3 linked regions of the Drosophila melanogaster genome follow. The protein of the gene in region 3 interacts with the protein of the main gene of each other region in a pairwise test. Each region holds a gene or a part of one and is shown on either strand. Other genes may lie near its edges. The genes, in order: CG4306, mura and CG5445.

Region 1 (3,399 bases), on a different chromosome or scaffold from region 3:
CATAAATCAACACAAAGTTATGTTGTCATGACGACCATGCCAGACCTCTTAGCTCACCAACTCGTGTCGCTTGTCCTGTTCTGATGCGATCTGGTTTCAGTTTTGGCCAGAAACCATGTCAAACTGGCCAGAGTTCCGCCGCAAGCCCCACCAACATCCATAGAAAACGTGCAACGAATTCCGCAATAAAATCGCAAAAATCATTTTAAATGCATTCGCATATATTCGCGCAACAAACGGCTGTCACTGCGGCAACCCGAACAAACATAAGCAAATTGTGCTTTTCCCATGATATGTTACCCATCATGTCACAAATATTGAAATCGAAAGCCAAACGGTATGGTTTTTGGTGACGGTCGTTGCCCATGTCTTTGTTATGATTTAAAAAAATTTTTTTAAGGGTAAAATTGTTATGTAAACATTAAGGGCACCCGTTTTTTTTAAGTTAAACCAACGTGAAACTTTATAAAAGGAACTAAAATCTACTTAGAGAACTTAATCAACCGAAATTAAAAAAAAAATAAAGGAAGCAAATATAAAGGAAGTATAATTGTCACTTAATATAAGAACCGAATCCTCTCACGCTGCAAATTGAAAATATATATTTGATGCTATTATTTCAAAAAGGGTAGGCGTGATAATTTTGGGTGGTTTGTTGGGGTTAGAGTGGGTGTGGCAAAAAGTGTTTTGGCATATCGATAACAATTTACAAAACTAATAAAAATATGAAAAAATATTAACACGTTTTTCAAAAGTGTGGGCGTGACAGTTTTGTGCGGTTTTAGGGCGTTTTTTTTTTAGCAAATCGATAGAAATTCACAAGACTAATTAAATTATGAAAAAATATCCAAACATGAAAAATATCAAAATTTTCAAAAATGTGAGCGTGGCAGTCTTTGTCATTTTTAGGGCGTTAGAGTGGGCGTGGCAAAGAGTTTTTTTTTTGCAAATTGATGGAAATTTACCAGAATAATGCAAGTATGAAAAATATTAACACGTTTTTCAAAAGTGTGAGCGTGACTGTTTTGTGCGATTTTAGGATATTTTAGGAAATATCGCGTAACGTAAGACCAGCTAGGAATTGAATAACGAGAGGCAATAACTTGAAAAGTTCAAATCTTGTCAGAATAATGATATCTATGACAAAAGACTATCAATACACAAAATAAAGGCCCCTACGCATATAACAAATAATTTATATATTTTATTTTACAATATTGTTAAATAAGACGCACACGTATAAGACGCACGCATAAGTATGCCGACTAGTGTACATAATAATACAAATAAACATAATAAAACACAAACTTCGACTTACCTTCGCGCTGTCCGAACTCATTTTACTCAATGACAACATGAAGAATTTTAAGCACTCTGAATTACTATTGAAAATTCATTGGCTTCATTCATTCTTTGAACACATTCAGTTAGTTCATTTCGATCGCCGAATATATACGAAGTGAACGCAAAAAGAACGGGACCAACTGAATGACATGTATTCTGAATACGAAGTATAACGAATGGACAAAGAGAATGGTGTTATGCAGCCCTCTGGTGCACAAATATGCTCTCAGTAGACGTTCAACCTGAAGGCAGATCGTATCGCTTGGAGCTGTCAAGTCTAAATAAATATATTCATATATACGGGTATACATTTATAGAATGAACTACGAGTGTCTTATCGGTGTTCTAAGCTGCCTATTGGTAGCTCTCCCCAAAGGAAATTGCCACAGCATCAGTGGTTTAAATTCCACCTTGAATCTACCAGAGATTCGAGGTGACCAGTTCCTGTACTTTGGATTCGGAAGCAATATGCTGATCAAGAGAATTCACATCCAGAACCCTTCGGCGGTAAGAATTGGTCCGGCCCTGCTACCCGATTATCGATTGGACTTTGCCTTGGAATCAGCCGGTTGGAGCGGTTCTGTGGCCACCATCGTTCCCACCCAGGGTGATCATGTCTGGGGAACCCTCTGGAAGATCGATCTAAGTAATCTGCCGGATATAGACAGGTAAGTCTACGATATAGTATATGCCGTCTTGATAGGTTCCATTGTCGCTGTACTGCTATTATAAAATGTGTCTTATAAAATCACTTGAGCGTGTAAACCAATTACGAGGATCTATATTTCTTAGGACGGCTTAATTTATTTAGATTTATAATGCCTCCCAATTATATACTTTTTCCAGTCAAGAAGGCGTTAGTCAAGGCATTTATGAGCCTCGCACCGTTTACGTAAAACTCCATGGGGAATCTGAATCAACTCCTGCCCGAGCTTATCTACTGACCAAGCAGCCAGAGAGCAATCTGTACGAACTGCCTAAGGACTCCATTCCCTTATCCAGACAGCCCTCGAAAACATATCTGCAATGTCTCGTTAAAGGCGCTATTGAGAGCTCCGTTCCGGAGGATTATGTTCAGCGATTGAGGAGCATTAAGCATAATGGACAAGTTAACTCCTATCTGGAACGAAAACTGGAACTGGGAGGGGTAACCCTTTAAGTAATCAAAACATTAAATAAATTTCATAGTGCCTTTGACATTTTTATCAAAGATTTCTGAAAATATGTGGAGATTCACCTAAATAATACAATATTAATCAATACGTTTAATAACTAAATTATCGTCTTTATTGTTACACTGCAGCCATGAATGAATGAATCTTTGAATCTTTTGTAATAACATTCAAATTGTGCCATGTAATATTGCTACGCGAAATAAATCGCTTAAATCCATTTTAGTTTTATTTTACCAATAAATGTCTTCTTGTGCCGCATTTGTCATTTTTTGAATTCACAAATTCACAATTAAATTATCAGCGAATGATGATGGCTGTGGGAAAAAATTGGTCAGTGGTTCATTAGATCATTAGAATTGATTAGACAAGCGAAAATTTTAAGCACTGAAAACAGGTCCAACTACTGTGTAGTTAGTTTTCGAACTGATCGAAATTGATCATGTTTCATTTTTATTTGTTTTTGTTCTGAACGAAACTAAATTGATTAACTTTTCGCAGCATTCAAGAAACTCGCAAAGCTTTTTCATTTAAAACGATAGACGATCAAGTTAGGGCAGTGAATTTTGAGAATAGAGATCCATGTAATCATTAGAGAAATCTTGTATTTTGATTTTAAGTTTTATTATCTCAGAATGTAATGTAAAGAAACTTAACTAGTTTAGCTACAACAATGGGATATTTTTGGAATGTAAGTAAAATGCGTACTCTTCAAAAGCATTCCTAGAGAAGTTATCTTTATAATGAATTTGCAATTGCCCGTCTGAAATGTGTCTGCACTAATCAAATATGAATTGATATTTTCAACTATGTTCACATTTTTAGCTTCTAGGCTGTTCCCAGTCATTTATTTAGCTTCAAACCACTTACACCGTACGAAAAT
Region 2 (3,759 bases), on a different chromosome or scaffold from region 3:
ATCGTGAACGACTGGCTGAGCGAGAACGCTCCCGCTTAACATTATTGCTATCGGCGGCTGCCCTATCGTTGGATCCAGCACGGCGGGCACGATCCCTCGACCGACTACGACGATCGCGATCTCGCTCCGGCTCTTTTCGCGCCTTGCTGCCCGGTCTTGGAGATTTGGAGACACGCCTGGGGGAACGGGTGCGAGAGCGGGAACGTGATCGGGCGCTGGGCTTATCCTTGTCTTTGTCTTTGCCAGCAGCGCCGCCGCCACGTCTTCGGTTCTTCTCGCTGCGATCCGAATCGCTGGACGACGATGATGAGGAGCTCGAGGAGTCGCTGGAGCTGCTTGAGCTGGAACGCGATGACCCGGAACTGCTCCGCGAAGAGCTGCTGTCCGATGTGCTGGAAAAAGTGAAGTGTTTTATTTACTTCTCGTAACCAAGAAAACGGCAATGAAGCTGGTACAAAGTAAAACACTTCCTAACTGTGATGAAATTTTACCATATATGGTATGTGAATTTTTACAAAATCTTTTCGCTCGAAGGCTATTTTCTTCCCGTACTATCTGCTACGTTTTACAGAAGAAGAAGGACTTCCTTTTAAAAGTAACCCTTATTCCGGTTGGCAGATGGCAGCCATTTGTGGGAAAGACCTTTGCCGGCTGATTTACCTGCTTCTGGAGTCGCTGCTGGAGGACGCCGATCCGCGGCGTTTGCGTTCGCGGTCCCTGCGCGAGGAGCCGCTGGTCGCCTTGCCGTCCTTCTCTTTGGCGACCTTCTCCTTGTTGTCCTTTTCCTTCTCACCCTCGCCGGCGAGACTCTGGGCACGCGCCCTGTTTTTTTTTATTTGTCGAGAAAAGCGAGCTGTTTTAGACCATTTAGGGAGCAAAATGTGGTGCAGATACTTACATTTTCGTATTGCCGATTTGTTAAACGATTAGTTTTATAGTACCGCACACTCTTTTAGGTGCAAGCTAAAATGTTTTTATTAATAAATCTTGTTTTTCTCAACTAGAGTTAAATGCGAGTAGCGTTTTCAGTGGAGATTAGTGTGGCCGTGTTTGTGAACGTGTAAATATGACAAAAAAATAGAATACACACTTATTAAAATAAAATCCAGTTCCTTTACTTTGCTATTAAAAAACTGTTTTGCGAATATTAAGAAGCATTTTTAGTTAAATATAAATAAATTTCTTTTATAATATGCTTAAATCTCAAATTCTAGTATACAAATGTTTCTAGAGTATTTGGGATTAAGATAACAGACACCACTTGGTAATTTCTCACAGTCTCGCCGCGGCCACACTCTTTGTCAGGTCGAACCCAAGGTAAACTCCCATAAAGCGTAAAAATTTAAGACCTTTCCTGCCTAGCAATTTGGACTCGATAGGAAGTAATAATGTATACCGTGTAATATGAATAGTGCTTGTTTTCGTAACGTACGAATGTAGTGGAATTACATAAAACGCAATTGATTTAAGGCCAGCACTTTTTTATCTGCTGGTGACGAAGTGGTTGTCATTGTGAGTTCACATCCGTGTGCCTGTATGTGTGTGAACTTGTGTTGATTTTGTCCATGCGAGCAAGCGAGATAGCAAAAGGGGGCCGCGGGGGCTGGCCACAGCCACAGAGTTTCGATTTTCCATCCATATATCTACACTCGCAGCGGAAACGAGAGAGAGAAAGAGAGTGTGAGAGAGAGGAGCGCCCCGTCTGGTCTGGGCACATTTTACCACACTGCGTCTTTGTCTGCCGTCGAGTCGGGAGCTCCGCGTCTGGTGTGTAGTATTATTATTCTTAATATTTCGGATTACTCTGCCTGTAGCTCAATAGCAATATTAAAACCCCGCCCCGAATGCTTTGCGTTGAAAAACATATCTTAGTGTGTGTGTGAGTGCAAAGTGCAGTTATGTTGTGGCAGCAGTCAATGCAAATTAACCAGTGTCTATACCTCAAAGGCACATTTTTTTAGCCCCATCATCGTGTTTTGAAACGCCACAGCGCAGCGTAATTGCCAAAAACCAGCTAGCCAACAAGAGTTTCGTTGGTATACATATCCATATATTCATATAATCAATGTGTGTAAAGAAAACGAAACTAAGAAAAGCGAAAAAGAGCATTCGATGAAGTTGACTGTCATGACTACGCAATAGCAACAACAATAGGAGCTGCCAACAGACACATGTATGCACAGTAGGTGGGTCCTCTCACGTGCTCTCAGTGCCGCTCTCTGCTCTCCCTCTCTCGGTTTCTTTGTGCATCGGTGTGAGTGTGTATGTGTGTTGGGGTCCGGACTCCATGGAAAAAGCGAATATTTTGATGCCTGCTTCCTTGTGTGTATATGCGTATATTTTTTATAATTTATTGTTTTAATTTTGAGAGGGCGTAGTGTGACCCCAACTCGAACACCGACCCTGCCCAAGTATGCATAGAAGAACGCGCACACACATTTGTGGTCAAAATAATAGTTAAATTACGGAAATGTAGTCTATTTACAATGTTGAAGGAGAGCACCGAAGAGGTCGCTCTTTATATACATACATACATACATAAGTATATGTTATCGCTGCATTAAGTCTTATAATCTATGTTTAGAAATGCACTTATCTTATCTTTATAATAATATTTACCACAAATACCCTGATCAAAGAGGGGTTTTATGCCGTGACACAGTCGTTATACGAAGAGGGTGCTTCCAAAATCTTAGTGCTTCCATTTTAAAAGCATCGAAATTTATGTTATGAAAAGAAAAAGAACTTCTTATGCTAAGAATATATCACTATATAATTGCGGAGAATATCTTTGGGGTACAAATTATAGAATTCCATTATATAATATATATAATATTATATAATATATATAATATTTCTACTTAAATGTCTGTTTTAAGCAACACTAACCTTCTTCTTAGAAGAAACTTTACTCCACTTCAACATATTCAAGTAACCATTTCTCAGAGACTACAAACCAAAAATAGTTTACAGCACTATTAGTTTAACTGCAACTGTATATTGAACCACAATTACAACCATTATCGTTATGATAAACAAGCATTTGTATATTGTACTGCCTGCCTATATTTTACGTCTAATTTGCATTACATTGGCATTAATACTCATTGGCCGCAATTAAAACCAGGCTTTATATATATAGATCTATATTTTAATATTATTCCACATATACATACATTTATTGCTAACCAAACTAAACCAACCCAAGTAATTAGTTTCTCAACTGAATGTAATAGCAATGTTTTCTTTTACTTTTATTTTCTTTGTTTTAGCATACATACAATATTTTATTGCTGGTTTTGGTGGTAAATTTGCATTGTTAACGGCCGCGGCCAGACGTGCCCCGCTTCTTTAACACACACGTCTCTCAAACGAATACCGATCATCAAGTGTTTCCCCTATTGACTCTCGTATATAGCAACACGTAAAAACCAATATATAGCGATACTGATACCGAAAGCAACTAAACCGAAAGTGTATACTAAATACATCCCCGTATGTACCACATAAGACTGCCATCTGCCCCTTGCGTTGCCGTGCCGTGCCGTTGACACTTTTGTATCTGGCCATATTCGTATCTGTATCTCAAACTCACTGACCAACTACTGCAAGCGCAAATGCAAATGTAATCTGCAAAATGCAAACTGCACACCTGAATCTCAGCGCAAGTCTTAAACGTTTAATCCTCGAACTGCCTACAATACCAACCAACCTATCAGCCATCCTGAGCCAATCAACCAACCAACCTATCAACGGTCT
Region 3 (3,759 bases):
TCAATTGCATAATCAAGTGGGTGGCGGGCATCAAGGACAGTGCGACCCAATTTAACACGGACGTGGTCGTGTGCGGCGTCACCGCCAGCAAGGATGTGACCAAATTGATCAACGCCAACAATAAGATCCTCAGCACTTGCAACGACCTCATCAATCTGAGGTCCAACACTTGCCCCCAAACGGACGACGAGGAGACGAAGGTCTCTGGCAGCTGCTTTGTTAAGACTCTGCGCAAGGTGTGGTCCCTAAAGAAGCAAGTGGACAATGCCATCAAGCTGGCCAAGAAGATCCCGCAAACCGGTCCCAATGCCGTCGCCTGTGTCTCCGATGCCGTCAACACCCTGACCACCTACTACACCGCCTTTCCCCAGAACATCATCAGCTGCTCCAAGCTGACTTCTTAGGGGTTTAGTGCCCGCAATTGATTCGAGCATTCAATAAAAATCCGTGTTATCACAGTTTTTGCTAGTTATTTAATTTTGTTAGAGGAGAGAAAGCCTTTTTATTACTATTCGTAACTAAATTTTTATAACCGTTACTCGTAAAGTAAAAGGAAGCGTTTTCATATAGTCTTGATTAGGATCAATAGCCGAGTCGATCTGGTATATCGTATATATGATATTTTTTATATTTTTATTAGTCTTGCGAATTTCCATCGATTTGCAAAAAGTATTAAGTGGAATATAACAAGTTGCTCTATAACATACCTATATTTGTATATTTGTACAATTTATACAATTTTTAGTCAGAGTAAATTAATAGTAATTCAATTATAATACAAATTTATATTTTATTGAGTACAGAATAGTTAGATAATTGTTTAGTTACTGTTAACCAAATGTCTGCACCCCTAAACGAAAACCAGTGCGAGTGTACTTTCTATCACTATTGAATATTGATAAAAATGGAAGTGTGACAAAAACAATATCTCAACAGATATGATCACCTTAACCTAGGGCCATGAGACAGGTTTGAAGATAAAAGGCTCTCTCTTTGGTATAATTAGTTTTTTAATATACTCGATACTTCTTTTACTGTAATGCTCATGCTTATTTATAAATTAGATTTAAGCCACTTTAAATATTAAAAAGCTGTCACTCAGACGTTGACAACGTAGATAGGTGACTTTTCCAAGGGTTTTGTTTTGTTAAATAAAATACCCATTGATTTCTTTGAGCGATTATGCATCGAATGCATCGCGTCGATATATGGGAGTGCTTGCGGTGGGTGGTGTCGGACTTACCTGAGGAATCCCTGTCCAATCTGGACAATCTGGCTATATGACTATCTCGCTATCTTCCTTTGTGTGTCCACGCTGCATAGATAATGTCAAATTAGTTTCGGACTTTGTGTGGTGGTTTAATTAAAGCATACATATCGCCGGCACATTGGTTTTCCAAAGTGTATGTGCAAATCGAACCTCCGAATCGCCACTTAACTGATATGGCTCCGGCCAATCGTCTATATAAACAAACCCCACGGATCGGTCAGCAAACATTCGCCAGTGAAACCATCCACCAGTAACATGAAAGTACTCAACGTCTGCCTCTTGGTCGTGGCCTCTGCCAGCTTCCTTCTGGCCACAGCGAACGTAAGTCAGACAACCTTATGAAGAACTACTAGCAAATACAGTCAAGTGCCATCGTTATTAGAGTTTGAAAAAAATCCGAAAAGTGCAGCAAACAAAGATTTAATGAACAGAATCGTCGCTTAAAGCAAATATATTTTGTTCAATTTTTTTTCCGAAGTGCTTTTAAAACGTGTGCTACTTGAAGTCAAATATTTTGACAGTTATTCCAAAATCGAATCGTATTCCTAACTTGTTTTAGGCCAGTGCCGTAGGTGCTTTCGAGGACTTCGAGCCCTACACCGATGCCGAGCTTAAGGATCTCTACGCCGCCGAGTTGATGGCAATGGAGGATGAGTTCATGGGCGTCGAGCAGTTCGGCTTCATTGGATCGTGCCGCAAGATTCTGTGGGCCGGATACAAGGGCATCAACGGCACCAAGTGCATCGTCGAGGAGGTGGCCAATGTGCTGCTCACCTGCACCAACTACGTAGACGACCTGAGCACCTGCACCGGCGATATTCCCAAGGATATCCAGGCCATGCTGAACAATGTCAAGCAAATGATCATCACCAGCAACAAGATCATCAACATGAAGTCCGAGCTGTGCGCCTCCACCTCCAGGAGCGTCGTCTCCTCCACCAAGAGCTTCATGCGTTGCACCCTGAAGGCCTTCTACGCCACCATGTCCCTTGTCCGCCGCATGAACACATTGATCAAGCAGGGCGCAGCCCTGCCCTTCAACACCTCTTCCTGCTACGTCGATGCCACCAAGAAGGTGGTCGACGGCTGCAACGCCTTTGTGCCCAACATCAATACCTGCATAGCCAGCATGACATAAGTTGGTAATAAAACCATGAAATTATGAGCAAAGCAGATGCTTTCTTCCTGATTTGGGAGTTCGGGGTGTGACAACATATCTTATACACCTTTCTAGCCTGTATAGTGTCTCAGATCACGAGATACCGACGGACCGACAAACATGGCTTTTTTTTGCTGTTTCAAACTTTTAAACGAATGTGACACATACAGAGCTTTGGAAATCGATGTGCTCATTATTACTAACTGACTTATTTGACTTTAACCACCTTCAACCTTATGTTCTATACCCATAAAAAAGGATGTTATATGTTCAAAAATCTTAATTCTATTGCCAATAGACAGACTTCCTGGATATTCTGTACTCGATGATTCAAATGATGGGCGCCAGCGGTATCAATGGGTCTGGACTCCAACAAAAGCAACAAATAGAATATGAAGGGAGTAAACACGTTACTCGTAGAGTAAAAAGGTATACTAGATTCGTTGAAAATGTATTGGTCTCCGACCATGTCAAGTATACAATACGTCGATACGTTCCGACCAAAATTCCTTAGCCACACCGAGTTGGTTAGCGCGGTGGCTGGAAATTTTAGGTATAAAAATTGATTTACAAAATTAAGAAAAACTTACCACACCGCCAACGGCAAAGGAAAACATGGGGCCCACGATGCCACGCCCACTCTACCGCCCACAAGCCGCCTAAAACTGCCACGCCCACACTTTTGATCAATTTTTCTTATTTTATTTTCCAATTCCTATCGATATCCCAGAAAAATAATAAAATTTCGCGCTCGCATTCACACTAGCTGAGACACGGTTATATAATTATCGGGGAACTCGACTAAAGCATTCTCTCTTTTGTTTTAAATTATATATATGTATTTATTGTTTCATTCGTTCGCTTTTTCATTCATAGATGTGTTGTATGTATTCGTGTATTTATATTATTAAAAGTAATATTGTTTGAGCCGCGTATATAAAAACAAATAACAATAAAAAATGCTTAACCAATCAATTAAATTAATTCCAGTACTAAATAAATTCAAGCCAAGTCACAAAAAAAAATGTCAAAAAATAGAGAGTATAAGTGATTAAAATACAAAACCGAAATAGAACTTAAGCACAGCAGCTAAGATTAGATATATACGTTTGATTCGCCTTGAGATACTGTACTGCCCACTAGGAATAACAATATTCGTTTTGGCGAAAAAAAAAAAAAATATGGAGGTGCAAAAATGATTATGCATATAGTACAATGTAAGTAGCTAGACCTTAGGCTTAGGTTTTATGCTTTATATTTAGGGTTTTTCTCATTATAATTGCACATGCTTTAAGTTAATCCACAAAAAAAAAAAAAAAAAAAATACACC

Evidence for each region.
Region 1: the proteins of CG5445 (region 3) and CG4306 interact in a two-hybrid assay, tested with the Drosophila melanogaster proteins (one large-scale study listed by BioGRID).
Region 2: the proteins of CG5445 (region 3) and mura interact in a two-hybrid assay, tested with the Drosophila melanogaster proteins (one large-scale study listed by BioGRID).

Annotation. Positions count from the first base shown.
Region 1 is NT_037436.4:18,461,332-18,464,730, reverse strand, and holds CG4306 (uncharacterized protein), read left to right. Parts: upstream 1-1,567; 5' UTR 1,568-1,662; coding exon 1,663-2,012; intron 2,013-2,190; coding exon 2,191-2,503; 3' UTR 2,504-2,774; downstream 2,775-3,399.
Region 2 is NT_033777.3:9,549,324-9,553,082, reverse strand, and holds the start of mura (murashka), read left to right. Parts: upstream 1-1,744; 5' UTR 1,745-1,767; intron 1,768-3,272; exon of another isoform or gene 3,273-3,759. Other genes in the region: RnpS1 (RNA-binding protein S1), read right to left, coding at 1-392, 661-822, 899-900.
Region 3 is NC_004354.4:17,280,460-17,284,218, reverse strand, and holds the start of CG5445 (uncharacterized protein), read right to left. Parts: upstream 1,724-3,759; 5' UTR 1,592-1,723; coding exon of another isoform or gene 1,526-1,591; 5' UTR 1,375-1,525; intron 1,316-1,374; 5' UTR 1,244-1,315; intron 458-1,243; exon of another isoform or gene 405-457; coding exon of another isoform or gene 1-404. Other genes in the region: CG8661 (uncharacterized protein), read left to right, coding at 1-404; CG8664 (uncharacterized protein), read left to right, coding at 1,526-1,591, 1,830-2,408.